3 linked regions of the Mytilus edulis genome follow. The protein of the gene in region 2 purifies or fractionates together with the protein of the main gene of each other region. This does not show direct contact. Links are inferred from orthologs where the notes say so. Each region holds a gene or a part of one and is shown on either strand. Other genes may lie near its edges. The genes, in order: nuclear pore complex protein Nup50-like, importin subunit beta-1-like and ran GTPase-activating protein 1-like.

Region 1 (11,024 bases), on a different chromosome or scaffold from region 2:
AAATCTGAGGCAAAGAAAATATACCTTGACTAGCACCACTCTCTCCAGCTGGCTTGTTTACAGCAAATGAGAAACCAGATGTAGGTTTACTCTCTGTGGAAGACTTGAAACCAAACCCTGAGAAACCAGTAGCTGTTGCGCCAAATCCAGTTGTTGTAGTTGAGCTGGCACCAAAGGCTGCAGTTGTAGTAGGAATAGAACCAAACCCGGTTGGTTTAGTTAAACTGGCTCCAAACTGGAAACCAGTTCCCAATGGTTTGGTCTCTGTAGTAGTTGCTGTTTTAGAATTGGGAGAATTACCAAATGCAAAACTTGCAACAGATGGCTTGTTTTCTGTTGTTAAAGATGTTGGTGACATAAGAGAATTTCCAAGGGGAAATGTTGGAGCTGTTTCTGTAAAAAATAATAAATTACTATTTTACGAAAAACTGGTCTTACATCAAACAAATAAATTTGACATCTATTATGGGTTGAGAACAGTTAATTTCAAATAGAGGTGTGCCAATGTGTATACATCGCTAAAGTTTCTATCCATTTTGAAGACAAAATTCAAACCGTACTTTTTGCGACAATACAAAAACGAGTAATTAATTCTGTACTCATTTCCCAGATTAGTTTGGTTATCAAATTGACAGGAAATCATCTGCTTTTTAAATTTATACCTTTGTTAGTGTTTGAATATTAATGATAATGGTTGCACATGTTTTTTTTAGCATGAAATCATTTTGCATTTTACGATTAAGTGGTTGAATCTGCGAAAGAGAATTTCCACACATGCATATTACATACATGTAGTAAACAAAGCATGCATGTCAAGTAAAAATTACTTTTTCTATGTAAATTAATTTAAATTTTCATTTGATTTTAAATCAGAATTGACAATTGTATTAGCTGAAAAGTAATCAAATAATGAAGATAGTTTTTATGGAATTTTAATTTCTTTATAATATTAGTTCTGAGCCTGTGATCAATAGTCAGGTGTGAATTAAAAACACAGATAAAGAGACTAAAGAGATTAGCGATCATCAGCCAATATATCTGTGAGGCATTAATATAGTTATAAGGAGGGCTCTCAGGATTATAACACTATACAGGAGTGGCAGTTTTATTACAGGGAAGGGAAAACAAGACAAAAACCTGTGCAAAATGGCGATGAAGAAACCCAATCTCAACGAAATGACCAAAATTATTTTTGTTAAACAAATAAAATTTGTCCCAAATCCGAATCTGTCGTTTGGCACAAATAGATTCAGAATCGGTTACGTTTGGCAAATATGACCATTTCTGGACTCTTGCTCACCTCCTGATTCAATTTTACGCTCAGAATCCATGAAAGTTGGTAGCCCGCAAATTATAAAGAATTATACCAGATTTAAAGACTGTTGAATTTACAGTGGTTTAACAGGACTTACTTGTGTCTGTTTCTCCTTTTGATTTCTCTCCAGTTTCTGTTTTCTCTCCATCTTTATTTTTCATTATTTCTTCTAAATGTTTCTCGTAGTCTTTAAATACAGGAGTCAATATACAAAATGGATTCTTATCAACATGACTTTTTATCCATGATAAAACACTTTCATTCAAATTTTTCAAACTTGACAAATAAGATCCTTTCTTTTTCTCAGCACCATTAGATGGTGGAAGTGTCTTTGCTTGTCCATTTTCAGATTCTTTTGTTTTCTCCGTTTGTTTTTCATCCTTTTCCGACCCACCATTGGTGACCGATCTAACATTAAAAGAGAATGGTGTACTAGCTGCTGTAGGTTTGAAACTAAAACCAGAAAACCCACTGAATTCTTTGTTCTAAAAAGAAAGAAGGTTTTTAATATCAAATCTATAACTGAAATTTATAAATATTAGTTGCTTAAAGGGACAAAATATATAAAGAAATAAAAACTAACTTCAGGATGTACTCATATCACTCCATTTTGTATCAATGTACAAATGTATATATTTCTTTTACAAAGCATTTAAAAGATTAAGGTACATGTACAATCTACAAGAAGACTTCGTTTGAATGGTTTTACATTAGTAATTTTTGGGGCACTAATTTCTAGCTTGCTGTTCGGTGTAAGCCAAAGCTCTGTGTTGAAGGCCGTAACTTGACCTATAATGGGTTACTTTTATAAATTGTTACTTGGATGAAGAGTTGTCTCATTGGCACTCATACCACATCTTCCTATATCAGTTGTCACCCTACTTTAACACATTATTCTGAATCAAAGCCGACCACTCTTTGATGTTATTCCACAATGCAATAATATACACTGCAGAGAGGCAGCAAATACATATTTCAGAGATGTTGATCCTACTAGGGATGGAACCTACAAACTCCTGCACTCTACGTTAGAAACTAAGAAGAAAAAGATGGTTATTCTTTTATTACAATATTTTTATAACTTCCAGTAACTAGCACAATTGAATACATTGGAATACCTGAACTGGAGCTGCACCTCTCCTTTTTCCTTTCAGAATTTGTCTTCCTTTTAATGATTCTTCAGTGGCAAGCTGGATTTCCCCTGCCTGAAATTCAACAATATGTAAAGTTAAAAATACAGTGTTATAGACTATCTAAAAATGTACGTACTTATCGACATGTGTCAGGTATATTCAACATGTATAATAAATATGGTTCATGTGGATAAGAAACTCATAATTTGTAACAGGTCAACTACTTTATGTCAGATTGAACTAAATTTGAATACATGTTGAAAATATCTTTATGGTGGTATTCCTATTCTATAAATAGAATAAATTACTAGGTAATCAGTGTAGATCTTTATACGTATGCATGCAAATTTTGATACAGGAATACAATTCATTTTTCGTTACTTTTCAATGAAATTAAGAAAATTCTTTTACCTTATTTTGCGTAACCTGGCGCTTGAAAAATTCCATGATAAAAATATTACCTACATATATGAATTAGTCAGTAAAATCCCTAACTAACCTCTTCTGGTTCATCTGCATCGTCCCAATTTCTGTCAGTTAATTCTTTATCTGCTCGTCTCTTTGCCATATTTTAGTTAAAGATAAATATCTAAAAGAAAGATAAAATTGAAATTGAATATTCAAATAAAATTTCATCTGATGTTAGGCGGATTAACCATGTTAGCGGGATCCTGACCCTCCCCCTAACCTGGGACATCGAGTTCATTACTGCAAGCTTTCTCAACATTCAGAACTATTTGTATGAGCTTTTTCAACGTTAAGCACTATTTTAGAACCTTTCTCAGTGTTCAGTATAATTGAGAAAGGAAATGGGGAATGTGTCAAAGCGACAACAACCCGACCACAGAGCATACAACAGCGGCAAGCCGAAGGCCACCAATGGGTCTTCAATGTTGTGAGAAACTCCCGCACCCATAGGTTTTCTTCAGCTGGCCCCTTTAAAAATATGTATACTAGTACAGTGATAATGGACGTCATACTAAACTCTAAATTATACACAAGAAACTAAAATTAAAAATCATACAAGACTAACAAAGGCCAGAGGCTCCTGACTTGGGACAGGCGAAAAATTGCGGCAGGGTTAAACATGTTTGTGAGATCTCAACCCTACCCCTTTACCTCTAGAACTATTTTAAAGAGCTTTCTCAAAGTTCAGCACTTTTCTATTAGCTTTCTCAACATTTCAGCACTAGTTTGTGACTTTCTTAACGTTCAGCACTAGTTTGTGACTTTCTAAACGTTCAGCACTATTTTCATTTAACAAACCTTTTCAGTGAGAACAAAAAATATGAGAATTGCTTCAGTATTAACCATCTGAGCAAAAGAAGTACTTCCAAAGCTCAACCATTTATATAGTACACTATAGTTTAATCCAATATAGCCCAACTAACTGTGAAGAGTAAATAAAATTGAGAATGGAAATGGGGAATGTGTCAAAGAGCCCTATTTAGTAGCTTAGCATTTGCAATGTACACCTTATCGCTATTTGTCCGCCATTACTGTAGTGGGTCTCATTGGGGTCTAAGCGTGACGCGGGATTGCCGATTTTTTGTAAGCGCGACACGTAAAAGTAAAAAAATTATTGTGGGGTGAAAAAGGGAAATGAGGTCTTGCGGGACCCGGGAAATGACAAAAAAAATGAGAATTGCTTACGTACATAGTGTAAGCGGGATACGGGAATCTGACAAAACAGTAAGCGGGATCCGGGATCGGAACCCCCCAATGAGACCCCCACTGTATACATGTACATGATGTATCACACAGGTTCCCGTAAAATTCAAACGTCATAAACCAAATATCTGACGCCACAATGGAAAAGTGATTGTTGTATGACATCAAAAATTCAAACGGCCAGGTCAGCGGGGATTAGCGAAATAAAGGTGTTTCATGCTTATAAGTTCAAAGGAAACAAAATACATGAAGAGAGGAAAACTTGTACTCCATTAACCTTAATTTATCCAATCTTATTCTATTCATCTACAATGTGTTATGATTCAAATCTCTTCCAGTTGCACGTGGTTTATCTTACTTAAAAGAGTTTGGTTTTTTTTTGTGTAAAAACGGCCATATTTGCCAGTCAATAACTCTTGTGGAAATTGGACTTCGAGAAAAGCAGTACACACCTCTCCGTTCTTTCAAATAATTATCTATGATGTAATTGACTACTGCTATCCTTAAAATCAACAAAATTTTGTTTCTTTAAAGGTCTATCGAGTCTAACTTCAATATTTCTACAGTTCAATTTTTTGCAGAATGATCCCCATGGAGGCTGACATGTTGGAAATCATTACGCCTCTAAGTAAAAGGGAAACTGTTAAGATTTTTTTATGTTTATGTCTTAAATTTATCAAACTGATACACATATTTTTTCGTATTGTTGTTTGTTGCATTTGGTTAAGTTTCGATCATTTTATGTTTGAATATATATGAAAATAAAATTTATTTAAAAAAATATGTTTAAAAAGTAGTCCAAGAAAACATTTCGGTCAACAAAAATTGAGGTGCTCCACAAAAGACAGGATGAATATAACAGAAAGTCCGCATAATAAAAACCTTTTTTTTAAATTGCATTCGGCCTTTTTATGCCGAGAACTCTATTTTGAATAAAGCTTTACAGATCTCTAAAAGATTTAGATTATAGCTACGCTCCCGTGATTTTTATTATCTAAATCTTTAGAGATCTGTAGATCTAAGGCTTTATTCAAAATAGTGTTCTCGGGTATAAAAAGGCCGAATGCAATTAAAAGTTTTTTTTATGCGTACTTTCAGTAAAAAGTTTTTTATTTTTTTATTTCACAACAGTTAATTGTTCTAGAAAAATAGTAAAGTATGATTTTGCATTCTAGATTTAATCTTTTACACAAACTAGAGACTCTCAAGAGCTTGTGTCGCTCACCTGTATTTTATGATGCTTTGAAAATCATGTTGAAAAAAGGTTTAAACATAATCAACAGTATTCGATATACAATATCATTAGACACTATAATTATATCTTACATAATAACAAAAAACTAAAAAATTTCTATAAATTACTATTTCAGGGGCAGCAACCTAACAAGAGGTTGTCTTATTCTTCTGAAAAATTCAGGGCAGATAAATCTAAATCTGATGAACATTTTTTACACCCATCAGCTTTGTTTTAATGCTTTTGTTTCAGAGGTATAAACCAAAAACTGCCTTTTACATTTATGTTCTAATTTTACCCTTGTCGGAGATGGGTGTTGGTTGGAAGGCAGGGTCATCGAACATTTTTTTTTACCAAGATACCCTAATGGTGATTATGGCTAAAATTGGTTAGTTTTGTCTCTGTAGTTTAAGAGAAGATTTTTGTAAACGTTAACGACGACGGACGATGGACGTCAAGTGATGAGAAAGGCTCACTTGACCTTTCAGGTCAGATAAGCTAAAAATCAAAACAACCTAAGTTGAAGGGTTACATATATTGTGAAAGGGGAAACAATTTAACTTGAAATAAACAAATTATTTACGACCTTAAGCTTAGGTAATGGCTGTTTATCAGTGGCGGATCCAGAGGGGGGGTTCCGGGGGTCCGCACCCCCCCCCTTTATTTTGGCCGATCAATGCATTTGAATCGGGACATATGTTTTGCACCCCCCCTTTGCCCTGGGCTAGCACCCCCCCTTTCGAAAATTCCTGCATCCGCCACTGTTTATCAACAGTGTGTTTGACATGTACACCAAAGCTGTCAAGTGAAGCCATGCACTGACATGGGTCAGTTAATTTGAGTTTACAAAGCTACTAGTTGAATGTATTGTCCAAGGAGAATTACGAATTTACCGGTTCTGCTAAGGAAAATCACTCAATATGAAATCAGTCTGAAGGCTTTGAATCCAGGTGACAACGGGTCATTTATTTTTCTAGGGTCACACCCGCAGAATACTGGTCAGGTTCGAGGTGAGAAGACGCCATACTGATCGATTTGACAATTTTTTGTGTAAAAAAAATCACTTTCATGTATTTAAAGCCATACTTGACTTTTCAGAGACAAGTGAATGCGTGTCGGACTGTCGGGTTGTCGGACTACGGGACTGTCGGATTATGGGTCTGTTGGATTATGGGTTTGACCCCAAAATCACAATAGTTGGTATAGCAGTGTCAGACACCTATGTAAAATTATTGATCTGCCTTGTACTAGTAACTTTAATAAATACAAATTCAGAAAATGTTTACTTTGCGTAGTTGTTTAAAAGTATCCTATGTAAAATCTTGGGAGAATTGTAAATATAATTTATATTTGACAAATGATTTAACATCAGCTCTAATGAACTAAGAAACAATGACAGCTCATAAACGAAAATAAGGAGAAGACTCAAATTCTTCTGAAGCAATTTGCGTCTGTCTTCAAAAAAGAAACAACACAAACATTACCCAAAACAAGCATCAGGGTAAAAGACTCCATATATCAAATTACCATCAGAACAGGAGGAGTGAAAAAAAACTGCTGCTAACCATCAACCCATCCAAAGCTTCAGACAATATACCAAATAGAGTACTGGAACAATGCGCAGAACATCTGGCACACTGATACTAACATCAATATTCCAGCTATCCCTAGAGACAGTGGTACTCTACTAGAGGACTTGAGAAATGCCAACATCTCTAGGATCTTCAAGAAAGGAGGCTGAAACTATAGGCCAGTCTCGCTAACATCAGTACCATGTAAGCTACTTGAGCACATTATATGCAGACATATGCTAGCTTAAACACCTTGACAAGCATAATGTATTGACTTCTTTAAACCATGGATTTAGATCTGGATATTCTAGGGGAGACCTAATTTCCATCCCAATCAACGACATGCTCCAGTCATACGACAAGGGAAACCAAGTAGACCGTCAATGCGATCCAGGATTTATCGAAGACTTCGATACTGTACCTAATGATCGACTCCTGCACAAAATAAATCAATATGGAATAAGAAGAAATATCCACAAATGGCTAACTTAATTCCTAACTGAAAGAAAAATGCAAGTCCAACTAGAACATATAAAAGGAGAACACTCAACTAATGCCTCAGTTGAATCCGGAATCCCCCAAGGAACAGATCTAGGATCCATCCTTTTTTTTTGTCACATAAATGATCTTCCAGATGCAGTATACTCATCAGTCCGACTATTTGCAGACGACTGCTTGCTGTACAGGGACATCAAAAATCAAAAACCAAAATAAACATAACAAACGGCTACAAGAAGATCTCAAATCACTAGAAAAATAGACCAACGACTGGGGTATGCGCTTCAACGCTAAAAAATGCTTTATATGTGCTAAAAGGGGGGGGGGGGGATCTGCTAAGCCTAGAAAGCAAATTCAAGCAGTTCTACAACCTTAATAACCACGTGCTAGAACAAGTGTTATTCAACTAACAAAGCCAGTTCCATGAAAGCTAGGCTTCCTTAGGAGAAATATACAACACTGCCCTAAGGAATACCGTAAAACAGCATGTATATCACTAATAAGATCCGTTAAAGAGTATGGATCAATTATCTGAGACCAATATACGCAAAAGGACATAGATTAATTAGAATCCATACAAAAGGGAGGGGTTCGATTCATCGCTAAAGCATACAAATCAAGAGAGAAAGGATGTATGACAAAAATTCTATAAGAACTGCAGCTTCCGTCAACAACAATGATTGATTTTATTTTTCAAAGTGTTTAATGGGAAGATACCAGTGCTCCCTCTCATGGACGACCTTATTAAATTTCACAGACTAAAACGACACTAAGGGCTACAACCTTTAACAACTTTATCACTAAGAACATGCGCACTGCAGTAGAGTGGTCTAGATGACTCGGTAGTGTGCGTCCCTACAACTGACGGGAGTTTAAAACTGCACTCCTCAGACGAACTTGCTTGTGCGCAGACTAACCGTCACACAATCATGCCGAAAGGAATCTGTGACGTATACATCCACATACAGAATTTCATTTTGGGAATACAGATACAGATACTTTGACAAGATGTAATTTTTGCTTTTAAAGAAGACAGCAATTATTTAAAACAGTGGTTTTCTTCAAATAAAATACAGGCCAATCTCTCTCTAGTGTTTTTAGATCTTTTAGCCATAGTGTATGCACGCTGTTTGCTGTTGCTAATTTTACGTAGCTGTGTGTTCATCCAAGGGTGGCTGTATCTCTCTTTAGTCTGTTTAGTTGGTACGTATGTGGTCATTACATTCATGATGATGTTCTTGAAATTATTCCACATTGCGTTGATATCACTGAAATTGCATGATTATACCCCACTTCAAAAAAAGGGGGGGGGGGGTATACTGTTTTACCTCTGTCTGTCCGTCCATCAGTCCGTCCGTCAGTCAGTCCGTCCCATGAAACTTTCGTCACATTTTTCTCAGGAACTACACATCCACCCTTTCTGTAATTTGGTATCAACATTTATATATGTCAGCCATACCGTGTGATGCGTTTTCAGATTCATCACTTGACAACTTCCTGTTTACCGAACACTTGTCTGATTTTACACATGATAGCCAAGTTGAAAATTTTCGTCACATTTTTCTCAGGAACTACAATACAAGGATTTCTGAAATTTGGTTTCAGGATTTATATAAGTCAGGTTTACCGTGTGATGCGTTTTCAGATTCATCACTCGACAACTTCCTGTTTACCGAACACTTGTATGATTTTACACATGATAACCAAGTTAAAAATTTTCGTCACATTTTTCTCAGGAACTACAATACAAGGATTTCTGAAATTTGGTTTCAGGATTTTTATAAGTCAGCTATACCGTGTGATGCGTTTTCAGATTCATCACTCGACAACTTCCTGTTTACCGAACCCTTCCATATTTTTACACTATTAATATTATCCACTTGCGGCGGGGGTATCATCAGTGAGCAGTAGCTCGCAGTTTCACTTGTTTAACTTGAATTCAGTGAAGTTACTCAGTAAGGCTTTTCTTGATTTCCACTCCATATTGGCATATTTCCAGAGGTTGATGGTTCTAAACTGGTTGGTTTTGGTCATGTTACTTTAGCTGCTAGCTAGGCCCAATAGTACGATGTCGTGGTCACTGCTTCCGATTGGAGGAAGTTAATCAACTGTGAGTTTATATCTAAAATTATATGAGTTATATCTTTAAAATTTCATATATTGTGTAGGAACTCTCTTGTAAGTTTCCAATGCCCGTTTATCGGTTAAGGAGGCTCGGTGGTCAACATGGTTGAGCACGCTAAAAGAAATGAGTTAAATGCTGTTAAATGTCTGTGTCATTTTGGTCTTTTAATTGTGGATAGTTGTCTCATTGGCAATCATACCACATCTTCTTTTTATATAAGGAAATGTATATGTAGTTGTAAATCATTAGTAATTTCTGAGACTGGTATAACACAGTACAGTGTTTAGTTTCAAGTGGTCTCATGTATTAAATTTCAACGGATTTAAGAATATTAACGACCATTCTCCAGATTGTATTCGCTAACACGTTTACACGTAGTGGAGCACAGTGGTTCGACTGTCGATGCATCCGCGTGTCAAAATAATTCTGTGCAAAAACTGTTTCAGTTAAATAGTAAGGTAAATTACTATCCTTTTTCTGATTTTTGATATACCAATGGTTCATAATATGACATCTTTTTGAACTATATATGCCATATTTAAATTTTGAAGAAACTTGAGCATATTCTCCGCAAAACGGAAGAGGTCAGTGATCGTTATGTGCCCGTGATGTGTTGCTCTGTGTAATTTTCTTGTTTTTAAGGAAAAAAATAATTAAAACAGAGTAAAATATTTCTGTTGATTCCGATATATTCTATGATGACAACTCCAGAGCTAGAATTAATTCAAGTGCAGCTGAAGTCGGCTATTCAAAATCATCAGGTAAAAACAACCAATGGTTTTCAAATGCAACTTTCTTATTTTCATATCGCAAAACAAAGTTGTGTATTAAATTTTGCATCGAGTCAACATTTATTGCTATTAATTTTATTGTATATTATTTGAATATCTTTGAATATGAATTTATTTATTAATTGTTTCGTTGGTTTTATTTGTGTATTTTCCCAAAAATAACCCAATATTTCTGTGTCGTTTCGTATGAGTGGTTATGAATGCGCACGTCACATTACACAATTATGGATAGTAAAAACAGATTTACAATAAAATTAATAATTAAAATATGATTTACTAGTATTTTGTACTTTTTATAATTTCAGATCCTGGTTTCTAAAATAAAGGCTGACCTACAGGTGAGGAAATTAAGTATTTTTACTGAATCATTGTTGTACATTTTATATGCTTGGGTATTTATTGATTTTTGTTGGACAAAGTTTCATTTTCCAGTTACACTTATACAAATAATAATTCATGTATTTCATTACAGAATGTGGAGCTGAAAACACAACTTCGTGATTTACAGAAACAGATTACAGTTTTAAGTGAAAAACAGGTAATTTAATTTGAATTTGAAAAAAGTGAATTTTGACAATTTTTCTATGTATCAGGTGAAAGATATATATATTTTTGTAAAATCTATCCAAAGTCACATTATAGAGTGTTACACTAACTAAATATAATTTTGAGTTTATTTAATAACA
Region 2 (11,586 bases):
CAAGAAATGTTTTTTTAACCCATCAATTTTGATTTAATTGAGTGAAAAATTTCGAGAGTTAAGTATCTTGTGTTTTATTAAGGTTTATAATTTTTTTTAGTCAATTGCCTGAGGTCTATAGCTAAGTGTCTTGGATCAGACTTATATTCATTTACATCACAAACAGCAGCAAACTTTTTGGACTCTTTTTGTTGTGCATGATGATGTATTGATTTTGAGTCATTGATGGATATATTTTGTTTTTCTATATACATGATATATATCTAATTATAAGCATTTGATTTACAAGGAAAATTTTATCTGAAGATGTAAAAATTTCAATTGAAAATGGTTTAACAGGTCAGTGATATTGTTTGCCTCAAATTACAGCCGAAATTCGGCTTTTTCCCCTAGAGAAAATTTCCAATAACTAAAAAAATGGCTTAAAATTACTCACAAAAAGTTTTACATTTTCCCAAAACAGTGATGGCATTAGGGTAATGTTTGTAAATATCGTATTCATGTCATTATTATGATAATAGAAAGCACTTTTGAGATCCAGATTTCTGATCAGAATCATCATGGTGTTTGTAACACATGTGGTTTTCAATGCATTAAGTACCATCATTGCGTCTGTTTGACAACCAAAATATACATGAAAAAACAGTGCAAAAAAAGACAGCAAAGGTCAGCAAAATATCAGAGATGTGTTTAGAATAAAATAAACAAATTTCAAAATTTCAATAAAAAATATGCATTTTCCCCCAATAAAAAACGATAGAGGTAGTTTTGAAAAAAGACAACAATATCACTGCAGGTTGGGGGACAATTAACTATTCCCCAAATGTGGTAAAAAAAGGTTTTCTGAACAGTTTATTTTATTAAAATCACACATTCTGATATTCATGGAGAATGTCTCCAACCTGTTAAATAATGCCCAAGAATATGCAACCAATCGATCTCTGAAATGGAAAAAATATCAGTCCAAGAATAGCAAAAAATCATTCCAAAAATATAGCTGAACCAATTAAACAACAGCTGGAGGAATATCTTACCAACACTGATACATATGAGCACCAAGAATCTCCATTTGGTAAGGCTATTAATCAGGCTATGGATATGCTAATAACAACAAAAGTAGACATAAAACTGATAGAACCAGAGTTTTACCTACAAGCAGGGATCTCCATGGCCTGTTTAATGATGGCGACCCGCCATCGTTCAAATGACTCGCGCCATCGTTAAATTGTCTTGCGCCATCGTTCAAAACTTCATCGTTTTTTAAAGCCAGACGCCATTTTTTTTATCAATTATAATCAAATGCATGTAATTGCATGAATAACCCTTAGACCTTTTATGTTATAATACAGTTCTGACGCCTGAGGGATATCCGGATCAAGATCGCGAATCACTTGTACCTGAGCTTGTAGAGGTAGATCAACAAACCAGACAAAATACTATCTGAGGATAGACGATCCATTTGTCGAATTAATCAACTAAGTTTCAGCAAATGATTATGATAATTTAGATTAAATAAATAAATTAATAATCCAGTTACAAAGAAAACAGTTTAACAAGTCGAACACGTGCTTTATTTTGACTTACGCAATCAGTATCCCCCCTTTTTTAAGAATTACAAAATAAGATGCAAAACAGTAAATATTATTTCATCGCAAATAACTCGAGTCCTGCTGTAACGATAATTTAGAATTTCTTTAAAAGTTTAAAAGTAAAAAACTTAAATATTTCCTGTAAAGAAATATCGTATAGTAATTCCAAATTCATTTCGTATGTTACAATCAAATTGATACATCCGCGTTTCCGGTTTCTATTCAGACTCGAAAGATGCATGTTGCACAACATCAATTTGCCAGATAAAGTCATTAAAAAACCTTTTCATTTGTCAATGTTTGCTTTACAAATCTCTTTAACCCTTTAAATAACCCGTACGAATCGTTTTGTTGGTGCTGCAAATCAGCCATACCGGTAATGGGTTCTGAATTTAACAGTGTCCATGAAAAATAAGCTCCACATCATATGATTTTTAACCCCCATAACAATTACCAAAAATACAAGAAATCTACATGGGGACCTTCATGACAGCTTTTGGTCATTCTTGACTAAGGGGGTCCATGAAGACTTGGCATTTGAATGGTTAAAAACGGCAATAAATGAAAATATTGATACTTCTAATTCTATAATGAAAATTCAAATAATTTACATAAGCAATGAATTAGCATGTTCACCATTCCTTGTATGGAGGGATAAAATACTTCCAATCGCGCTACACTGTACAGCGTAGACACGGTTTGTAATGGTGAAAGTTCCTCCATCGTTCAATTTCCATCCATGGAGATCCCTGTACAAGGCAGGAGTAGACTTTATGCTGATGAGAGCACCAAGCTACTGCGAGTTGTTTTGGAAGCTCTAAAAACAGAACTGCAGAGCAAACTGCCCAAAGCAAACAAGTAGTACAAAAACTTATGGGAGAAAACTCCGAGTCAACAGCTATCGCATTTACAGATGGCTCCTGTCAGGGAAATCCACGACCTTGTGGAGCAGGAGCAGTTATATATACTGAGAACCAACAAGGAACTAGCCTAAAAAGACCAGTAGCTAGAAGAGGTTCAATACTCTTAGCGGAACTCATAGCTATCCTTATGGTCCTAGAACACTGCATTTACACACTTAGAGAACAGTTCACTGAAATAAAGATCATATCAGATAGCCAGACAGCGGTTGGCATCTTGACTCTCAACTGGAAGTTATCGAACTATACAGACACTATTACAGACATGAAAGAAAGCATTGGGACCATCCTGAGAGGCAGTATACAAACTACCCTATCTTGGATCCCAGGCCATGCTAATATAGCCGGGAATGAGATAGCGGACCAGTTAGCAAAAGATGCAGCACAGGAGGCCTCAAATCTAAATGACCAGTAAAACTTCATAACCACGTCTGATGTAAAAAGCACAGTAAAGATGTCAACCAAACTAAAATGGCAAAATAGATGGACTAGAAGTGAAACTGGGAGACAACTACACGAATAAGTTCCTATTGTAGGCAAGACCCATCAACTTGATTACCCGAAACCAAACTATTAGGAGAATCATGTCTGAATTCAGAACTGGCTACAATAGGCTAAATAAATATCGTCATCAGATACTAACAGAGAAATTTAGTACCAGGATTTTTCATTATATGTAATATGCCGTCATTGCACAACTATTCAAATGAATCGACCATAGTTTACATAAATAAAACTGAAAACAAGACAGTGGCCTCCAAAATTGAAGTTGTGCAGGTGTCTTCGTACATGTCAACAAATATTATATCTGAAAATATATTACTTCTAATTGGTGCTTTTTCTACTAAGAATTTTAACTTCAGAAATAAAATATCTTCAAGTTACAATGATTAAGGTTCATGTGGACCCTATGGCTAAAATGGCTGTATTTTCACCTCAAAATTTACTCTTGAGTACAGGCAAACCTGTGCATCTGAAAAAGTTTTAAGGCATAGCATGCCCTAGATAAATAGAATTCAAATGCATTGTATGAATTAGAAAATTCACAACTTAACTGGAATTTGCCGTTCACTTTTTTTCGTCCCTGCAGAAGATGATAAAATTAACAGTTGAGTTTACCTTGATATGGTCCACTCAGGTACACACTTTAAATGACCAATTATTGTTAGGTATCTATTGTCCATCTCATGTCCATGTCAAGCAATACAGCTCACTTCAATTATTACCTGTGGGGAAGTTCTCAAACCTGTTTCCCAACTTAGTTTATTTTGGCACCTTCTGGAGGAATGAAAAAAGTGCACGGCAAAATTCTGGTAAGTTTTTATTTTTCTAAAACAAATTTGAAATTTATTTATCTAGGGCATGCTATGCCTGGAATTTTTTACAGATGCACAGGTTTGTCTGTACTCAGAGTAAATTTTGAGGTGAAAATACGGCCATTTTAGCCATAGGGTCCACATAAACCTTAATGACCTTTCATGATCACATACAGGTCAACCAGTACAGTTCATTTAAAAATCAAAATCGTGATTTTGTTAGTGATAACTGTTTCTGAGGTATAATAGCCATATATCTTCAAATAAAGCTTAACCTTATTGATCATTTTCAACTGCTGATATTCAAAATAGATACAATGGACAATTTTGCTACTTGGCATTTCACAAAGTATGGTGTTCGTTTTTTTTTTATCGTTGATCAGTCTAGTTCAGGTTATGTGATGGATTCTTTTAAGAAAAATAAACATCTCCGATCTTTTCATAAGCAACAAGTGAATGTTGACAAAATAAAAAGACATTAAAATATATTCAGAATCCCATGCAGTCCGCGAGAAAATATGTGAACAATGTCAACTGGTGAATGAATGAATGTGGAAAAAAGTGAATTACCAGGCGAAATTGTTTTCTCTAAAATGCTAACAAGGTCCATCTTGATGTCTACAGTGTAAAAATGTGTTTATATATTCTGCTCGTTCCTGAAATTTCTTTAAATTGGCCGGTCAGCCAGTTCCCATGTGGGAAGCGTGATAATCCAAGATGGCGAAGAGAAGGTTTGCCGGCAGAAGTCAGCCGAGGTATTTTAAAAGGCTTGTTTTCATTGGACGAAAATGAACTATTTGCAGAATTCTTGCAAAATGTATCCAACCAAATTAAGGTTTATTTCAGAATGAACTATTTCACATCCTTTCTTATTTTTGCAGTTGACTGTAAAAAAACTCGAAAAAAAAGGAATCACTTGACATTGTTTGAATTTCAAAATACAATGAGAATAACAATAAAAGGTATATTTCGACTTTAACTACCAAAAATAATAAATAGATTTTATGTATCCGACAAGAAATGTGATTCGGCCAAAACATTTTCCCGCCAAAAAATGAATACTATCTACTTGCAAGCTTGCAGTTTCGCCAATTTTTTTCATTCCCCCAATCAGGGACTTATAGTATAGAAAGTCCCTGCCTCAATCGAATGATATCAATTGCCTGTAACCTGTCTAAGAGCACCCATCAGTCATCTTGTGTATTTCAAATTATTTGATTCTAAAGTTTCCAAAAAAAAAATCTCGGGTTGGAACAATACTGAATTATTTTCTCCAGGAACATAAAGTTGTTAACAAACTGTTCCCAGCTTTCTCAGACAGTATTGAACATAAATATACAATTAAATGATTCATATTACTTGATTTTATTGAATGTTATTTTTTAATCTTGAACTATATTGACGTCACTTTGTTTATGCCCTTAATTCGACCGGAGTCTGCATGGCCTGCATGAGAATACAATATTCATCTGACATCTATCTGGGAACAGTATATCTAACATAATATATATGTTCCTGCATCTATAGAATAGAATACGGAATATTTTTATTTCCCAAATAACAGGGCCCATTAAGGGCATAAAATCAGATACAATTGATTATAATTGGTAACCGTCAGTACAACAATAAAAGTCACAGAGTACATGATATAAATACATATTTAGTAGAAACTGTATATTAGCATTGGTCAAAATCAAGCCAAAAACCATATATTTATTGTGAATAAAAGATTTTTTTTTACATTATATTCATTCTCAAATCATTAACGAGGGAGGGTAGGAGGGTCCTGATCCCGAAATCCCGGACTTAAAAACACCAGATCCCGAAATCCCGGGCTTAAAAACACAAAATCCCGAGGTCCCGAAATTCGAAAAAAAGAATTCCCGGATCCCGAAGGGGTCAATCACGAAATCCCGAGCTTAAAAACACCCGATCCCGGAGTACCGATAAAGGTCCTATCCCCCTCATTAACTTGACTTTTAGTGTCAATACTCATACCTGATCTCCTTAATTCAAAACAGTCACCAATATAACAGCCCAGTTTTTACATAAGAATTACATTTTCTTTGGTCAAGGGCCATAAACATTTAGAAGATTTATTTAAGATTTTAAAATTACATCAATTCGGTTAGAAATGTATTGAAAAAAGGAACTGTATATTTGAACATACAATTGCTTGATCTATATAAGTCTGGGTGGGTTCTTCATGAAAGCGAAAAACAATTAAACTGCACCCCATGACATACTGAGAACCCATGCCCGATGTACAGTAAATATTGATGCACGTGCTTCCCTCGACCTAACACGGGTGTCCACCGATGCAGGACGTGACAGCCATACTGCCATGACGTCCACAGGATGTATCGGTCATACCCCGAAAAGATGAAACGGCCACACGACAAAAACGGCCATACTTTGTAAAGACGTATCGTCCATGGTTTTTTATTTTTATTTTTTATAGATGTTATATATGAATTATTTTGATACTTATAGATGGTTATTATAACTTTTGAATAAACTATACTGTTTTTACATTATCTATCATGTTTAATTTTGTTAAATCCTCCGAAAGAAGGTTGTTAATTGCTTATTATTACTCCTTTGATGAACACAAGTATTAATTATGCTTTTGTCAAGAAATTATAAAGGAAATATAATATATTAATTCGAGATCACTATAAAAATACAGCACCCAAGCTGAGACTCAGAGTTCAAGCGGAGTGCAAACATACATTACGTAGTAAACGAGATAATGGGTCAAAAACTGGCACAAAAGAAGTTGTACCCGACAGAATTCAAACTGCACGCAAAACTGTCTATGCTCTAATGGGCGCAGGCCTCCATGGCCTTAATGGTATGAATCCAAAAGTGTCTCTTCATCTCATTAACTGTTATGTAATCCCAAGGTTATTGTATGGATTGGATGTGATTTGTCTGTCAGCAAAAGATATTAAAAACCTTAGTACTTATTTCATTAAACTCATGAAACAAATACAGCACCTACCAGAAAGAACTGCTAATACTGGTACTCTATTGTTACTAGGTCAGATCCCAATTGAAGCTGTTGTTCATAAGCGAATGTTATGTACTTTTAGAAACAGTGTAGCGAACAAAAACTCTGTTGAATATAATATTGCCAATAGACAATTAGCTATTAAAAGCAAGGCATGTTCTGAGTGGTTGGACTGACATCCATAAAGGCGTACCACATGGTTCGATACTAGGGCCATTGTTGTTTAACATATTTATAAATGATATTTTTCTTTTTGTTAAAAATGGTAGTTTATATAACTGTGCAGATGACAATACTTTGTCTTTTTGTACTCCAGATTTCGATTTATTAATTTCAACTTTGGAAAATTGGTTTTCAAAGGTTTAAACAAATTACCACCAGTAATGCAAGTCTTAGATAGCATTTCATATTGTTCGGCATTTTTTCTCTCTTGCAAAGAAACCGAACATCAAGTAAATCCCTCACATGTTAGTTTACTTTTGTCTGTATTTCATTGGTACGTTAATGATATATCACTATATATAAAGTTCTATCCTGTTACCGAGGCCGTAACTAGGCATCTTATTTTAGTGAGGAGGGTATGAAATGAATGGTGCAAAATCCTGCATTCTAGGCATTTTTAGAGAGTTTGATAATGTTTTGAATTGGACACTTTTTATATAAATTTTTCATATTTTAAGACTTTTACTAACACCAAATTTTTAACAACTTTATGTAAATTTATATGTAAGATAATAATCCAAATATCACTGATTTGAGTCTGCTGCCAGAACATAGAACAAACATAGATTCAGAAGAGTTTGTCAAATTTTTCTATGGCCGGTTCAGTCAAATCGTTTTAGAATCATAATTTGGTCTTCTGATATCCTTATCGCGATGAACATGGAGCATGGCAAGACCGCACAATCTCTCGCTCTTTTCCAAGTTTTCAGTCGTTTCAGGGCAGTCTGTGTTCCTAAAAGTAGCACATTATCATCAACACAATGATCAATGTCTTCTTCCAATTCCTTCTCCATCAGCAATTCGGTAGCAGCTTTTGTTTGCAAAAGGGAATTAAGCTTTCCTGTAAGCACCATCAGTCGCAGTTACAAAATATTAAACTCGCTTTTATGCTGACAAAGAGTAGACAAACTAGGGATAGAATGAGATAACATACATGTATATGATTCTATCTATAGAGTAAGTATATATGATATGGGTACAGGGAAATTGGAATGGAGTTTTTGACGTTTACATGTAGTTCCGTAATTTCAAATTATTTCTGGAAATAGTTGGTGGTATTTTAGTTCCAGAATCTATAAATTTAGGGGTTAGGGGTTGGGGTGTCCGATTCCGAAACCCCGAATATAAAGAAACGAAATTCCGTAGTCCCGAATAAGTAAAGACAAATCCTGTGTTTAATTAATTTAATAAGGTTCTACCATTCCTCAATAATATGGGATATTCTTTCAATTTTTAAGGTTAAAGAAACATGGATAAAAACTAATCCATGCATTCATGTTTCATATTATTTATATTTTATTTATCTGTAAAGAGAAAGATTAAAGTTCGTGAAATGAATACGCAGATAGCACTGCCCCCTTGCGATGCCCAGTACTTGATTTGTCAAAAGTTGGTGAAACGGAGAAATGAATACGCAGACAGGACTGCCCCTTTCCGAAGACCACTACTTGATTTGTCAGTCTACTTATCGTTTTTGGATTGTTCTAATGAAGTTATATGCAATACTCAGACTCTGTTCACAAAAAAAAAACTAGTTTACTAGAATTATTCCTTCTTTACCTTCAGTGTCGCTTTTCCTTTTTCTGCAAGAGCCTGTTTTTAACTAAAGATCCATGATGATTATCGTTACTAGATTAATGTTACCGAGAAACATCACCCGTTGAGATGCTGAGTTATATCCAGGAAGAATAGTTTAAAAGGAATGATGACAAGTTATAGCAATTAAGGTTGAGACAGAACAACAAATGACTATTATCTATACTATTAAACGAGAAGACCTCATTTTTGGTGTCGCTTCTCCTCCTTTCACAAGAAAATAATCATCATGCCTCTGTGTCCTATAGGTAACATGTATAGTCGCATTTGTCATCCATTCTTATGATCATTAAGTTTGGGTTATTTTGGGATAAAAAACGAAAAAGAATGCGTCCGGATATTTTCCCGTCATTGGACAAAACTTTAAGTCAGATTAGACTTCCGGTTTGTGTTTTTCTGTACTTCGAACATACAAAGACTATGAAATAAAGTATATGAATTTGCTTTCTGCTATCATTTTGAGATCTAGCATGTATCATCCTTGCTTAACGTGTTTCAGTTTGGGTTATTTTGGGAGGAAAACGAAAATGAATAATATTTGCTATTTACTATCAATTAGTTTACAGTGGCGGATCCAGAACTTTTCATAAGGGAGGGGGGGGGGGGGGGGGGCGTTGACTGACATAAGGGGGGGGGGGGGTTACTCTCATGTTTCCCCATATAATCTACAATCTTTTTTCAACGAAATGGGGGGCAGCCCCCCACCCCCCCCCCCACCCCATATGTATATAAGTACCTTTGACTTTTGATACCTCTCCTGAAATTCTCTGTATTGAGTAATTAAAGTATATATGCATGTTCATAGAGTACAGAAAAACAGAAGGTATAAAAATCTGTATTTGGAAAATAGGAGGAGGGCAAAAAAATGTGCCCAGTCCCTAAGTACCTTTGAATTTTGATACCTCTCCTGAAATTCTCCAGTCAGTATATTTTTTTTACAGTTTACATACGCTCTATTTCCCCGCGATTTCGCGGGTGTGTTCTAGTATTTATATATATGTATAAAAAAAAAATAATCAGTGTCGAAATTTTAGTGAGGCAATTGCCTCACTTGCCTCAAGGGTTACCTTTTTGTCTATCCTGTTACCGATATCAGTATTTCTCCTGCAAATGCTAAATTGGGAAGATTTTTTTCATTTCCTGAGGTTGACTATTACTTTGAATAAGTACTGTTATGCCAAAGGGATCAGACCGTTATTTATGATTATGTATGATTACATATACAAAAACCCATCATAAATCATATTAATCCAATCATTGGACGCGTATCTCTAGTACTGATCTGTTTAATGCAAATTCAGTTTACAAATTTCGGAGGTGTTAATCCTTTAATTAGTTTACGTGATTGCCAACCAATTATCAAACAAATTTACAATTATTAACGTGAAGGTGTATGCTGTATGGTTTATATGTGTGTTGTATATTTGTTTGTCTGTATGACTGAATGAATAAATAAAATATATTAAACGAAAATATTATCTTTTTGTGTTTCTTATACTATATTGGTATGATTGTCCATAAGCTTCAGACAGTCCATAATACATGTCTCCATCAACAAATGCACAAAAAGGGGAACATCTAAATCGTCAAAAAAACAGTATTCAACCGTGACAATGAACAAAGCAATACGAACATTCCTGAAACCATAATTTATCATGTTATTAGGAATGACTCTAAACTATAAGAAAGAAGAAAAACACAGAATTATTAAACTATATATATGATGATCAGGACAAATATAACTCGAATTGCCTTCCGTAGAGTTAACCTTTACACTGAGTACTGTTTGAAATTTCACTTAGACTGATTTTCTCTACAAATCTTTTGACTCGTAAAAGTAGACTATAAAATCATCACAGATTTGTTTAGAATAATATACCTTTTACAGATATAATAAAAAGATCGGTAACATGTGCTTGTAATTTGTATTTATATATATCGTCATCGACAGCGGCAGTCAACTCCTATAGTTTCAACTTCATATAAAATATATTTCTTGAAAATTATATGCAAGTCAACTAATTTGTTTTCCTCTAACAAAACTATATCAAATATTGTCATTTATTACCCTTTGTATATTTCAATGATTGAATTGTGTATATACTAGTAATATATATTGTAAATTAATGTATGAATGTATGAATGTTAACTGTATGCATGTATTTTGTTTGAGGGCCTCAATGAAAATTAGACTATTTCTAATTGAGTTACCCTCTTTAAATAAAGAATTTATTATTATTATTATTATTATTATAAGATGCCTTTATATCACATCATATTTATGTTATTACTATGAATGCATACTTATTTTATTATTATACTTTATGTTATAACCTCAATAACAAAAAATTAAAGTGTGGACGATACGTCTCACAAGGTATGGCCGATACGTCCCATGGACGATGTGGCGGTATGGACGATTTATCCCCGGCTTAGTATATATCTAGGATTTTGATTGGTTAACGCACGTCGTTACAAAACCCATAGCCCCTGGGTGTTGCTAACCCATATCCCCGGACGTTGCTAACCATTGTCCCGGGGAACTTCACGCAATTTTTCCTTCGTTCCATGATTGCTCCTTGTGAAATATTGAATTCTGTAGATTATCCATGATGTTTGTAATGAAATATTTAATTCATTACAATTTTGTCCTATTATGTCGATCATTTACACTCATTTCATTAAATGCATCACTTGACTACCACATTTTCAAGGAATGGGACTACTGACCTAGCAATGCAAATGACCCATGTTGACGTCACACTATCTATGACGTAACTATCACAACATTGAGCGCCAAATTTGACTCAATCAAGTTTCTCTGTCTCCGTATTAAAAACGACTTATATTTGACTACCTGTAGGGTTCTACCAAAGGTAGTACCCTACACCCCGTAGAAACTATGTAAAATTTCCAAATTTCAATAAAAC
Region 3 (11,613 bases), on a different chromosome or scaffold from region 2:
TAATGAAGATAGTTGATATACGTATTCAACATTTTAAAGAACATTTTACTATTAACAATAACCACAAAAAACCTATTTCTCGTATCAAACATAAACTAAAAGAACTAGCCAAGAAATTTGTTTTTGTCCCGGCCGATAAAGCTGCTAATAATATTATTATTGTTTGACGTAAATTTTAAATTGAGGTTCTGAAAAAAGAAATCACCAATTCAACAACATTCCAACTGACTCCATTTTCAGAAAACGACATCTGTAACAAACATAAACTTTTAGCTACCGCTTTACAAGCAGAGCCAAATACAATGAAAGTCCCAACTATGTACTGGCTTCCGAAGCTACACAAAACACCTTACAAATATAGATTTATTTCGTCTTCAAGCCATTGTTCCACTACTAAATTGTCTATTCTTCTTACCAGCACACTTGGTACAATTAAAAACTTGATAATAAATTGTTCAAATAAGGCCTTCGAAAATAGTGGAATTAATTACTTTTGGAGCGTCAAAAACTCGTTGGAAGTACTTGATAAATTACATGCTTATATTGGTGATTTTAAATCTGTTCAAAGTTTTGATTTTTCTACCCTATAGGTCATTTTTTAGTAGCAATAAACAAAAAAACTATGTCAATTGGACATGCTTTGATACTATATATGCCCTTAAATTTTTACTAGATAACATTTTTGTTCGCTTTGGGGATTCCGTATATCGTTAGATTATCGGAATTCCAATGGGGACTAACTGTGCAACACTTATTGCGGACCTGTTTTTGTATTGCTATGTGTTACATTTTATGACAAAAATAAGCAAAGACCCATGAAACAACATCTGATAAACAAATTTAATAATACTTTTAGATATTTGGATGATATTTTGGCTCTCAATAATGACGACTTCAGTATGTATATTAAGGAAATTTATCCTGTTGAACTTATTTTAAATAAAGCTAATACTAACAATGACCACTGCCCTTTCCTCGATCTTGATATCTATATCACTAACGGAAAGCTGAATACTAAATTTTATGATAAAAGAGATGATTTTTCATTTCCTATCGTTAATTATCCATTTTTAGATGGTGACGTTCCCTTGTCACCATCTTACGGTGTTTATATATCTCAACTTGTACGATTCGCTCGTGTATGTTATGATGGTATGATACTAAACCCCTAACGGGAAGGATTGTGCCTTTCAGTCAGTTTAATTGAAGTCTGGAGCTGGCATGTCAGTTAACTGCTAGTAGTCTGTTGTTATTTATGTATTATTGTCATTTTGTTTATTTTCTTTGGTTACATCTTCTGACATCAGACTCGGACTTCTCTTGAACTGAATTTTAATGTGCGTATTGTTATGCGTTTACTTTTCTATTGGCTAGAGGTATAGGGGGAGGGTTGAGATCTCACAAACATGTTTAACCCCGCCGCATTTTTGCGCCTGTCCCAAGTCAGGAGCCTCTGGCCTTTGTTAGTCTTGTATTAGTTTTAATTTTTAAATTAGTTTCTTGTGTACAATTTGGCAATTAGTATGGCGTTAATTATCACTGAACTAGTATATATTTGTTTAGGGGCCAGTTGAAGGACGCCTCCGGGTGCGGGAATTTCTCGCTACATTGAAGACCTGTTGGTGACCTTCTGCTGTTGTTTTTTTCTATGGTCGGGTTGTTGTCTCTTTGGCACATTCCCCATTTCCATTCTCAATTTTATTTTCTATTATTATGGTTTCTATTACAATATAAAAAGAAATGAATATCATCTTCATTTTGTTTACAGTTTTTGCATAATCTTTCTTCTCTTGGTATTTTAAGGTATCTTCCCTTTTCTATTAATAGATTATGATCACTTAATCTAAATTTTGTTATCAGTTTTCTGAATTCAAGTTTTGAGCAAGTTAAATATTTTTCTTCTGTATTATTTATTTTTACATGTTTATAAATAGTGAGTTTGCTGTTATCCTTTATATCTGATAGTTTATCATTTACTAGTTTTTCATAAAAATGCTTCAATTTTAATTTTATTTGTTCTCTTATATTTTTAGTTATCTTTTGTGAGGAATATGTTTTCAAAGTGTCCAAACCCATACCAGTTTCTTCTACTATATGTTTTACATATGAGAACCAAGAATAAATTCCTGCCGAGTCTAAGTTTTGAGACAAAATAAAGGATTCTTTTAAAAGAGGATTAATTTCATCAGAATATAATCTAATAAGATACAATATAGATTGAAATTTAATATTAAGTTCCAGAGGAAGTCTCCCCAGATCAGCTCTTGCACCTAAATTTGATGAAGTTTTCCTTATACCAAGTGTATATTTACAAAACTGAAGGTGTAACTTACAAGCAGGCAATTTTGACATTAATCAGATATCTATTAATCCCATTTTTGTTGATATCTTGAATGGAAATATTACTGAATTAGAAATCTTGTAAGCGATGAGGAATTTGAAAAATAACCGAAGGCTCCTGGTTCAGAAAAAATATTTAATGAATTTTTGAAAAATTCACCTCCTGTTTTTGCATCATTATATTGTAAATCATTCCAGACTCTTGGACAAGTGGTGTTTTAAACCCGTGTTACAAAAAAAAAGGCAATTCTTTCAGACCCTGATAATTTTAGAGCTATAACACTTATCAGCTGTTGGAAAAATTATTTACTTTTATGATAAATTCCAGACTAAATTTGTTTGCGAATGCAATTTCTATTATACAAGACAATAAAGTTTTTTTTAGAAAAGAATATGCACAACAGATAGTATTGTTGTGTTACATGCACTTTAGAATTATATTTTTTTCCTTTGATTTTTTTGTACATTTATTGACTGTAGAAAAGCTTTTGACGCTATTCGAAGAACTTGCTTATGGCAATACCTATATCTTCGTAAAATCAAGGGCAAAATCATGTTGCAAAGTTCTTTTCATATGTATCAAGGTAATATTTTTTTTTGGTTCAATATAATGATGAAAATTAGATTTTCCCCCATGTCTGATTGGTGTTAGACAAGATGAGAACTTGTCTCCTTTTCTATTTTCTATTTTCTTGAACGATCTGGAATAATTTAATGATTTAGATGGTATTCCTGTAGAACTTTAAAGGAAAAATTAAAAACGGGCTACATATATTTTTTTGAATTGTTCGTAATACTGTATGCTGATGATATAATTATTTTTTTCAAAAACAAAAGAAGCTAGGCTTGCAAAATTCCTTATATATTTCCCCGTTGTACTGCAAAAAATTTGAACCTGAAGGAGCGTGTTAAGAAAACTAGAGTTATGATATTTAGCAAGAGGAACTCATAACAAAATCTGAAATTTACGTGGCAAAATGATTTACTTGAAAATGTAGATACATTTCCGTATTTGGGTGTCATTTTCAAATATAATCGGGTACATTTTTTGATATCAAAGAGAAACTTTGTAGATCAAGCCCAAAAGATCCAGCACTGTTTACAAAATAATACGAAATGAACCTTTGCCCATTGATCTACAATGTAAACTTTCTGATTCTATGATAGAACATATCTCACTGTATGGTTCTTTAGTTTGGGACTTTGAAAAACTGAAAATTATCGAAGAGACTCACTTAAAAAAGGGCGCTGAAAGTTATATTAAATAGTGTATTTTTCTATTTTTGTATATATGTTATGTTTGTCACAGATCATGCTTTTGATTTATATGGCAATAAAATTATTTGATTTGATTTGATATAGATAAAGGCAACAGTAGTATATCGCTGTTCAAAACTCATAAATCCATGGACAAAAAACAAAATCGGGGTATAACATCAAAATCAAATACATGAATTTGGGATAGATACGTACCGTGACACGTCTTAAAGTAATGTGAATTCACACTAAAAAATAAGAGAAAACAAACGACACAACGGAAACACAACGTTAAAATGTAACACACACAGAAACAAACTATAATATAACAATGGCCATATTCCTGACTTGGTACAGGACATTTTATTTTTAAAGGAAAAAAAAGTTGGTATAAACACTACGCCTATTTTTTTTATGGTTAATGGAGAATTGGATAGATTTCCTCTAGCTGGAGATAAAGTTGAAAATTAGAATGATATTTTGGTTTAAAATTGCAAGTAATGAATGAAAGCAGTTTACTCTGTAGACTGATGCTTGGTTTAAAGCCTAAATCTTTAAATAGATAAATTGTATAGGTTGACACAATAATATTAATCAGTACTGGCATTGGATATATTTTTGCATTTAAGGTTTACTTTAGAAACATACCTTCTAAAACTTCCTGAATATTGCAGGCTTTGAGTTACACATTTTCGGTGTTCAAATCTGCGTCTGTCTATTGCATAAAACAGGCAGATGGCAAAATATTTCGATACATGATACAATATGTACTTTGTGTAGGAGTAATATTGGTTATGAATTTCATTTGTTATTAAAATATACTTATCAAAATATTATTGTTTTAAATGAAAAGTTTCGACCAAGCTACTACACAGTGAATTCTCATTATAAAAAAATCAAAGGTCTTCTTTCAATATGTAATGTACAACTGTATAAACGACTTTTTTGTATTTATCAAAAACATATTTCTATACTATTGCTATATCTAAATGATATGTACCGATTATCAGGTTATCTGCATGTTGATATCGTAAAATATCAGCTGCGAGACATAATATGAAGCTTTTTGTCGAGTGAGCGTAGCGAACGAGATCAAAAAGCCTTCATATAATGTCAAGCAGCTGATATTTTACAATATAAATATGCAGATAATCTGATAATCGATTTATCGGGCTATATTTGCGTGTTTCGGAAGTGTTTTCTTTGTTTCACCAGCACACAAAAGATGACTTGATAAGTTCGGGTCAAAGTTATTAACGTCGGTTCAAACATTATGACGTCGCTGATATGTCCGGGTCAAAGTTATTAAGGCCGGGTCAACGTATTTGACGTCACAAAGACATGATACGGAATAATATTAAGAGCTGAACAGAGTGATATAGACAGTGGGACGACCGATAAATCTATGTTATTGATACCACATGTTTACTTCGTCGTGTTCGTGTGATGCTAATATTAATAATAATAATCTGTATTGCCATATAAACAAATGATACATGTTTGTGACAAACTAAAACAAACAAAAACTAACATACACTCATACATATACCGGTAATAAATAATACATATATCAATTGTTGCAAGTATAAAATATAGTGACAAGTCAAAACACAAATTACAACATATCAATATACCACAAAACTTTTAACCATGGTATATATCAAGAGTCCACTGTCCTCAGTTCTATTGACTGTTTTAAAAAGAATGACATCTTGCTGCACGAGGGGCGTAAAAAGAGGCCAAGTATTTGCACAGAATCACAAATAAAAATTTCTTGCAAGATGATTTTTTTTCCGATTTCACGAAACACTGTGAATAACGAACCTTTTGCACGGCTGCGCGTGAAATAAAAATGGTACTTGAAACACGTACGTTGCACGAAAATAACCCTTTACCATCCTCTAAAACATGTATCTGTGTCTGAGTGTTCAAATACAATCTAGAAATCTTGAATCTTGTTTCCTTTGTGTAAGGGCGATAACTCCATTGACTTTTATTATATACAAACATGTAAATATTATAGAACAAGTATATGATAATAACTAAACATGTAAAATGGAACCAATGTTCTCACATCTCAACATCCGTTATGTTTTTACCTTCTAAACTATTCAAAATGTGAAAGGGACGAGTCACAGACACAATAAACTATAAAAGACCTGTAAACAAAAACAACCTAGAATTATTGTATTTTCTGTCTCTGACAATGCAATCTAACAAAATTATTACAAAATTACTGAAAAAAATCATACAAAATTATTACAAAATTACTGAAAAAAATCATACAAAATAATTATAAAAAGTAAAAAAAAAATAACAAATTAACTGACAACTAACAAACCAAAAACCAGAAACATATATGTACCTGCACATACTTAATGTATTTAAGAAATAAACAAGGCCAAAGAAATATATACAAAATATACTGAAACCAAGGATTTGTATAGATCTAGCCATGATACAAATCCTTTAAAACTGAAACGCAACCCGGCGGTGAATACATTAGCTAAATTTATTTTTTTATATATTCGAAATCTTATGCAAAAAAACCAATAGTGGTCGTAAGAACTCATGGCACAGTACACTAGATGTATGAAAAAGTAGTTCTAGCCAATCTTAAAAACATTTTTTTTTAATGTGGCGATATTTGATTTTGGGACGAATAAAGCATTGGGCGATATATAAATATTCATGGTATTTGGTCAGACCATTGAAACGGAAGTAACAAACAGCGCCATAAACTTGAAAGCGAGAAGGCCCAACTGCCTTGATTTTACAAATATTACCCTTAAAATGTCATCAAAAGACTTGACATCAGTAACTGAACAGTTGGCAAAGACCAAAGTTAATGAAACATATGAACTAAGTTTCAAAAATAAGGGACTGAAGCTAAATAGCGCTGCTGATGGTAATCATAAATAACAACAGAACAAACAAACAAAACAAAAACAAATATAAGTTATTAAGCGCATTGTGTTGACGTAGCACCCGAATGGATATACTAAGCTAAAGGAAAGTTTCATGCTTACTCATTCACTGCAATGCTACAAACTTTGGGCCTTATTATACACCTTAATATCCAGGGTTTCCCCAGTGGCAATTTTCTTTTTCGCCACCTCGTGCCAAAAGCAGGTGGCAGTTAGGTCCGCTGCTGTATGCCCTGAGGTAATCGGTGCCCTGAGGTAATCGTGGTAATGCGTCATTGATTAAATACGCACGAAAATATAGTTCTTATTTAGATAGATCTTAATACCAAATTTTAATGTGACCAAATACCAAAGATGTCAACAAACTTCCCAAATGATTTTATTATTTGTTTTCACCGATCATTCATTTCGTATGTACGTGTAGGGTGGGGATGGCTGGTAAAATTATAAACTTTTTTTTTTTTTTTTTTATAAAAGTTCAATTAATGATCTGAAGTATTCATTCATGACAGGGTTACCTGAGGTAACCCCAATTATAACAACAAATACAACCATTAAACTCAAGTCAACTGAGGTAACTTTATATATACATCACATAAACAATACAAATCTATGAAGTCCTACATTCTATTATAAAATTAAGAAATTGTGTAATTAAAATATAAATGTATACACTAGCAAAGTATGTACTAAAAATTCTTTCATAACAGGGTAACCTGCGGTAACCCAAACAATAACAGCAAATACAACCTATTTAACTCAAGTTAATTCAGATCACCTTTACATATACATCACATAAACAATATAATTTCAATGAATTCCTACATAACAAAAGAAGAAAGTGGTTTATTACAGCATAAATGCATATACTAGCAAAGTATCTACTAAGTATTTTGTTATGACAGGGTTACCTCAGGTAACCCATAAAATAGCAACAAGTATTATCCATTGATATCAAGTTAACTAAAGTCGCTTTTCCGATATGTCACATAAACAATACACATCTATGAGGCGTACATGTAAAATAAAGAAATTGTTTGATTACAACATAAATGTTTTCGCTAGCAAACCATCTAATAAGATTCTTTATAACATGGGTACCTGAGGTAACCCCAGATATAATTACAATTATAACCCACTTAACTTAACTGAAGTAAACTGAGATCACCTTTACATGTAAATCAAATAAACAATACAACTTTCATGAAGTCCTACATTTGAAATAAAGAAGTTTGTTTATTACAATAAATGTAAACACTACCAAAGTATTACGAAGTATTCATTCACGACAGGGTTACATGAGGTAATCCCAATAATTACAATAAATACAACCTATTCAACTCAAGTTAACTCAGGTTACATTTATATAGACCTCGCATACACAATACAAATCTATGAAGTCCTACATTTTAGATTAAGAAATTGTGTCATTACAGCATAAATGCATATACCAACAAATTATCTACGAAGTATTCTTTCATAACAGGGATACCTCATGTTATTTCAAAGATAACAACAAATATAATCCATTCAAATTAAGTTGACTAAAGTCGCTTTTCCTGAATATCATATAAACAATACTTATCTATGAAGTCCAAAATGATAAAGTAAATGGTTTATTAGAAGTTAAATGTATACTCTGGAAAACTATCTACGACGTATTTTTACGTGACAGGGTTACCTCAGATAACCAAAACAATCACAACAAAGATAACCCATCTAACTCAAGTTCACTCAGGTTACCTTTAAATACATATACATCACATAAACAATACAAATCTATGAAGTCCTACATTTCAAATTAAAAAATTGTGGAATAACAATATGAATGTATACACTAGCAAAGTATCAACTTAGAATTCTTTCATAGCTGGGTTACCTGAGGTAACCGAAACAATAACAGCAAATACAACCTATTTAACTCAAGTTAATTCAGATCACCTTTACATATAAAATTGAGAATGGAAATGGGGAATGTGTCAAAGAGACAACAACCCGCCCAAATAAAAAACAACAGCAGAGGGTCACCAACAGGTCTTCAATGTAGCGAGATATTCCCGCACCCGGAGGCGTCCTTCAGCTGGCCCCTAAACAAATATATACTAGTCCAGTGATAATGAACGCCATACTAATTACATCACATAAACAATATAACTTCAAAGAATTCCTACATTAACAATTAAGAGGTTGGTTTATTACACCATAAATGCATATACTAGCAAAGTATCTACTAAATATTCTGTCATTCACGGTTACCTCAGGTAACTCATAAGATAGAAACAAGTATTATCCATTCATATCAAGTTAACTTAAGTCGCCTTTCCAATATATCACATAAACAATACCCATCTATGAAGTCCTTCATTTAAAATAAAGAAATTGTTTGATTGCAACATAAATGTTTACACTAGCAAACTATCTAAAAAGCATTCTTTATAACATGGGTACCTGAGGTAACCCCAGACATTATTACAAGTATAACCCACATAACTGAAGTTAACTGAGGTCACCTTCACATGTGCATCACATAAACAATACAACTTTCATGAAGTCCTACATTTAAAATAAAGAAGTTTGTTTATAACAATTAATGTAAACACTAGCAAAGTGTCTACGAAGGATTCATTCATTACAGGGTTACCTCAGGTAACCATAACAATAATAGCAAAGATAACCCATCTAACTCAAGTTAACTGAGGTCACCTATATATATATACATCACATAAACAATACAACTTTCATGAAGTCCTACATTTGAAATAAAGAAGTTTGTTTATTACAATTAATGTAAACAATAGCAAAGTATCTACTAAGAATTCATTCATTACAGGGTTACCTCAGGTAACCATAACAATAACAACAAATACAACCCATATAACTCAAGTAAACTCAGGTATCACCTTTAAATATATATAAATCACATAAACCATACAAATCTATGAAGTCCTACATTTTTGAATTAAGAAATTTTGTAATTAAAATATAAATGTATACACTTACAAAGTATATACTAAGAATTCTTTCATAGCAGGGTTACCTCAGGTAACCAATACAAAAACAACAAAAACAACCTATTTAACTCAAGTTAATTCAGATCACCTTTACATATACATCACATAAACAATATAACTTTAATGAATTCCTACATTAAAAATGAAGAAGTTGATTTATTACACCATAAATGGATATACTAGCAAAGTATCTACTAAATATTCTGTCATGACAGGTAACCTCAGGTAACCCATGAAATAGAAACAAGTATAATCCATTCATATCAAGTTAACTTAAGTCGCCTTTCAGAAATATCACATAAACAATACACATCTATGCAGTCCTACATTTAAAATAAAGAAATTGTCCGATTACAACATAACTGTTTATACTAGCAAACTATCTCAAAAGCATTCTTCATAACATGGGTACCTGAGGTAACCCCAGACATAATTACAAATATAACCCACCTAACTGAAGTTAATTGAGGTCACCTTAACATGTGCATCACATAACAATACAAGTGTCATGTAGTCCAACATTTGAAGTAAAGAAGTTTGTTTATTACAATTAATGTAAACAATAGCAAAGTATCTACAGAGAATTCATTCATTACAGGGTTACCTCAGGTAACCCAATAATAACAACAAATACAACCAATATAACTCAAGTTAACTCAGGTATCACCTTTAAAAAAATATATGTATCACATAAACAATACAAATCTATGAAGTCCTACATTTTTAAATTAAGAAATTGTGTAATTAGAATATAAATGTATACACTTACAAAGTATATACTAAGAATTCTTTCATAGCAGGGTTACCTCAGGTAAACAAATATAACCCACCTAACTGAAGTTAACTGAGGTCACCTTTACATGTGCATCACATAAACAATATAACTTTCATGAAGTCCTACATTTAAAATAAAGAAGTTTGTTTATTACAATTAATGTAAACACTAGCAAAGTGTCTACGAAGGATTCATTCATTACAGGGTTACCTTAGGTAACCATAACAATAACAACAAAGATAACCCATCTAACTCAAGTTAACTGAGGTCACCTTTAAATATATATGCATCACATAAACAATACAAATCTATGAAGTCCTACATTTCAAATTAAAAAATTGTGGAATTACAATACAAATGTATACACTAGCAAAGTATCTACTAAGAATTCTTTCATAGCAGGGTTACCTGAGGTAACCAATACAATAACAACAAAAACAACCTATTTAACTCAAGTAAAATCATATCACCTTTACATATACATCACATAAACAATATAACTTTAATGAATTCCTACATTGAAAATGAAGAAGTTGGTTTATTAGACCATAAATACATATACTAATAAAGTATCTACTAAGTATTCTGTCATGACAGGGTTACCTCAGGTAACCCCTCAAATAGTAACAAGTATTATCCATTCATATCAAGTTAACTTAAGTCGCCTTTCCTAAATATCATATAAACAATACACATCTATGAAGTTCAAATTAATAAAAAAGTAAATCGTTTATTACAACTTAAATGTATATTCTGGAAAACTATTTACAAAGTATTCTTACATGACAGGATAACCTCGGGTAACCATAACAATAACATCAAATAAAAAATACAAATCTATGAAGCCCTACATTTTTAAATTAAGAAATTGTGTGATTAAAATACAAATGTATACACTAGCATAGTATCTACTAATATTTTTTTCATAACAGGGTTACCTGAGGTAACCCAAGCAATAACAGCAATTACAACCAATTTAACTCAAGTTAATTCAGATCACCTTTACATTTACATCACATAAACAATATAACTTTAATGAATTCCTACATTAAAAATGAAGAAGTTGATTTATTACACCATAAATGGATATACTAGCAAAGTATCTACTAAATATTCTGTCATGACAGGTTACCTCAGGTAACCCATGAAATAGAAACAAGTATTATCCATTCATATCAAGTTAACTTAAGTCGCCTTTCAGAAATATCACATAAACAATACACATCTATGCAGTCCTACATTTTAAATAAAGAAATTGTCCGATTACAACATAAATGTTTACACCAGCAAACTATCTCAAAAG

Evidence for each region.
Region 1: the proteins of importin subunit beta-1-like (region 2) and nuclear pore complex protein Nup50-like purify together in Homo sapiens (affinity purification with mass spectrometry; 4 studies listed by BioGRID and IntAct, counting the BioPlex papers as one, with this or other methods). This does not show direct contact. The link is inferred for Mytilus edulis from reciprocal best matches to the Homo sapiens genes KPNB1 and NUP50.
Region 3: the proteins of importin subunit beta-1-like (region 2) and ran GTPase-activating protein 1-like purify together in Homo sapiens (affinity purification with mass spectrometry; 3 studies listed by BioGRID and IntAct, with this or other methods). This does not show direct contact. The link is inferred for Mytilus edulis from reciprocal best matches to the Homo sapiens genes KPNB1 and RANGAP1.

Annotation. Positions count from the first base shown.
Region 1 is NC_092350.1:13,544,283-13,555,306, reverse strand, and holds the start of nuclear pore complex protein Nup50-like, read right to left. Parts: upstream 4,746-11,024; 5' UTR 4,572-4,745; intron 3,038-4,571; 5' UTR 3,017-3,037; coding exon 2,948-3,016; intron 2,521-2,947; coding exon 2,434-2,520; intron 1,801-2,433; coding exon 1,413-1,800; intron 394-1,412; coding exon 25-393; intron 1-24. Other genes in the region: PHD finger protein 21A-like, read left to right, coding at 10,243-10,308, 10,644-10,676, 10,811-10,876. UniProt on the Homo sapiens protein: Component of the nuclear pore complex that has a direct role in nuclear protein import. Actively displaces NLSs from importin-alpha, and facilitates disassembly of the importin-alpha:beta-cargo complex and importin recycling.
Region 2 is NC_092357.1:50,290,640-50,302,225, reverse strand, and holds the start of importin subunit beta-1-like, read right to left. Parts: upstream 4,572-11,586; 5' UTR 4,436-4,571; coding exon 4,396-4,435; intron 1-4,395.
Region 3 is NC_092351.1:73,535,125-73,546,737, forward strand, and holds the start of ran GTPase-activating protein 1-like, read left to right. Parts: upstream 1-6,299; 5' UTR 6,300-6,390; coding exon 6,391-6,505; intron 6,506-11,613. UniProt on the Homo sapiens protein: GTPase activator for RAN. Converts cytoplasmic GTP-bound RAN to GDP-bound RAN, which is essential for RAN-mediated nuclear import and export. Mediates dissociation of cargo from nuclear export complexes containing XPO1, RAN and RANBP2 after nuclear export.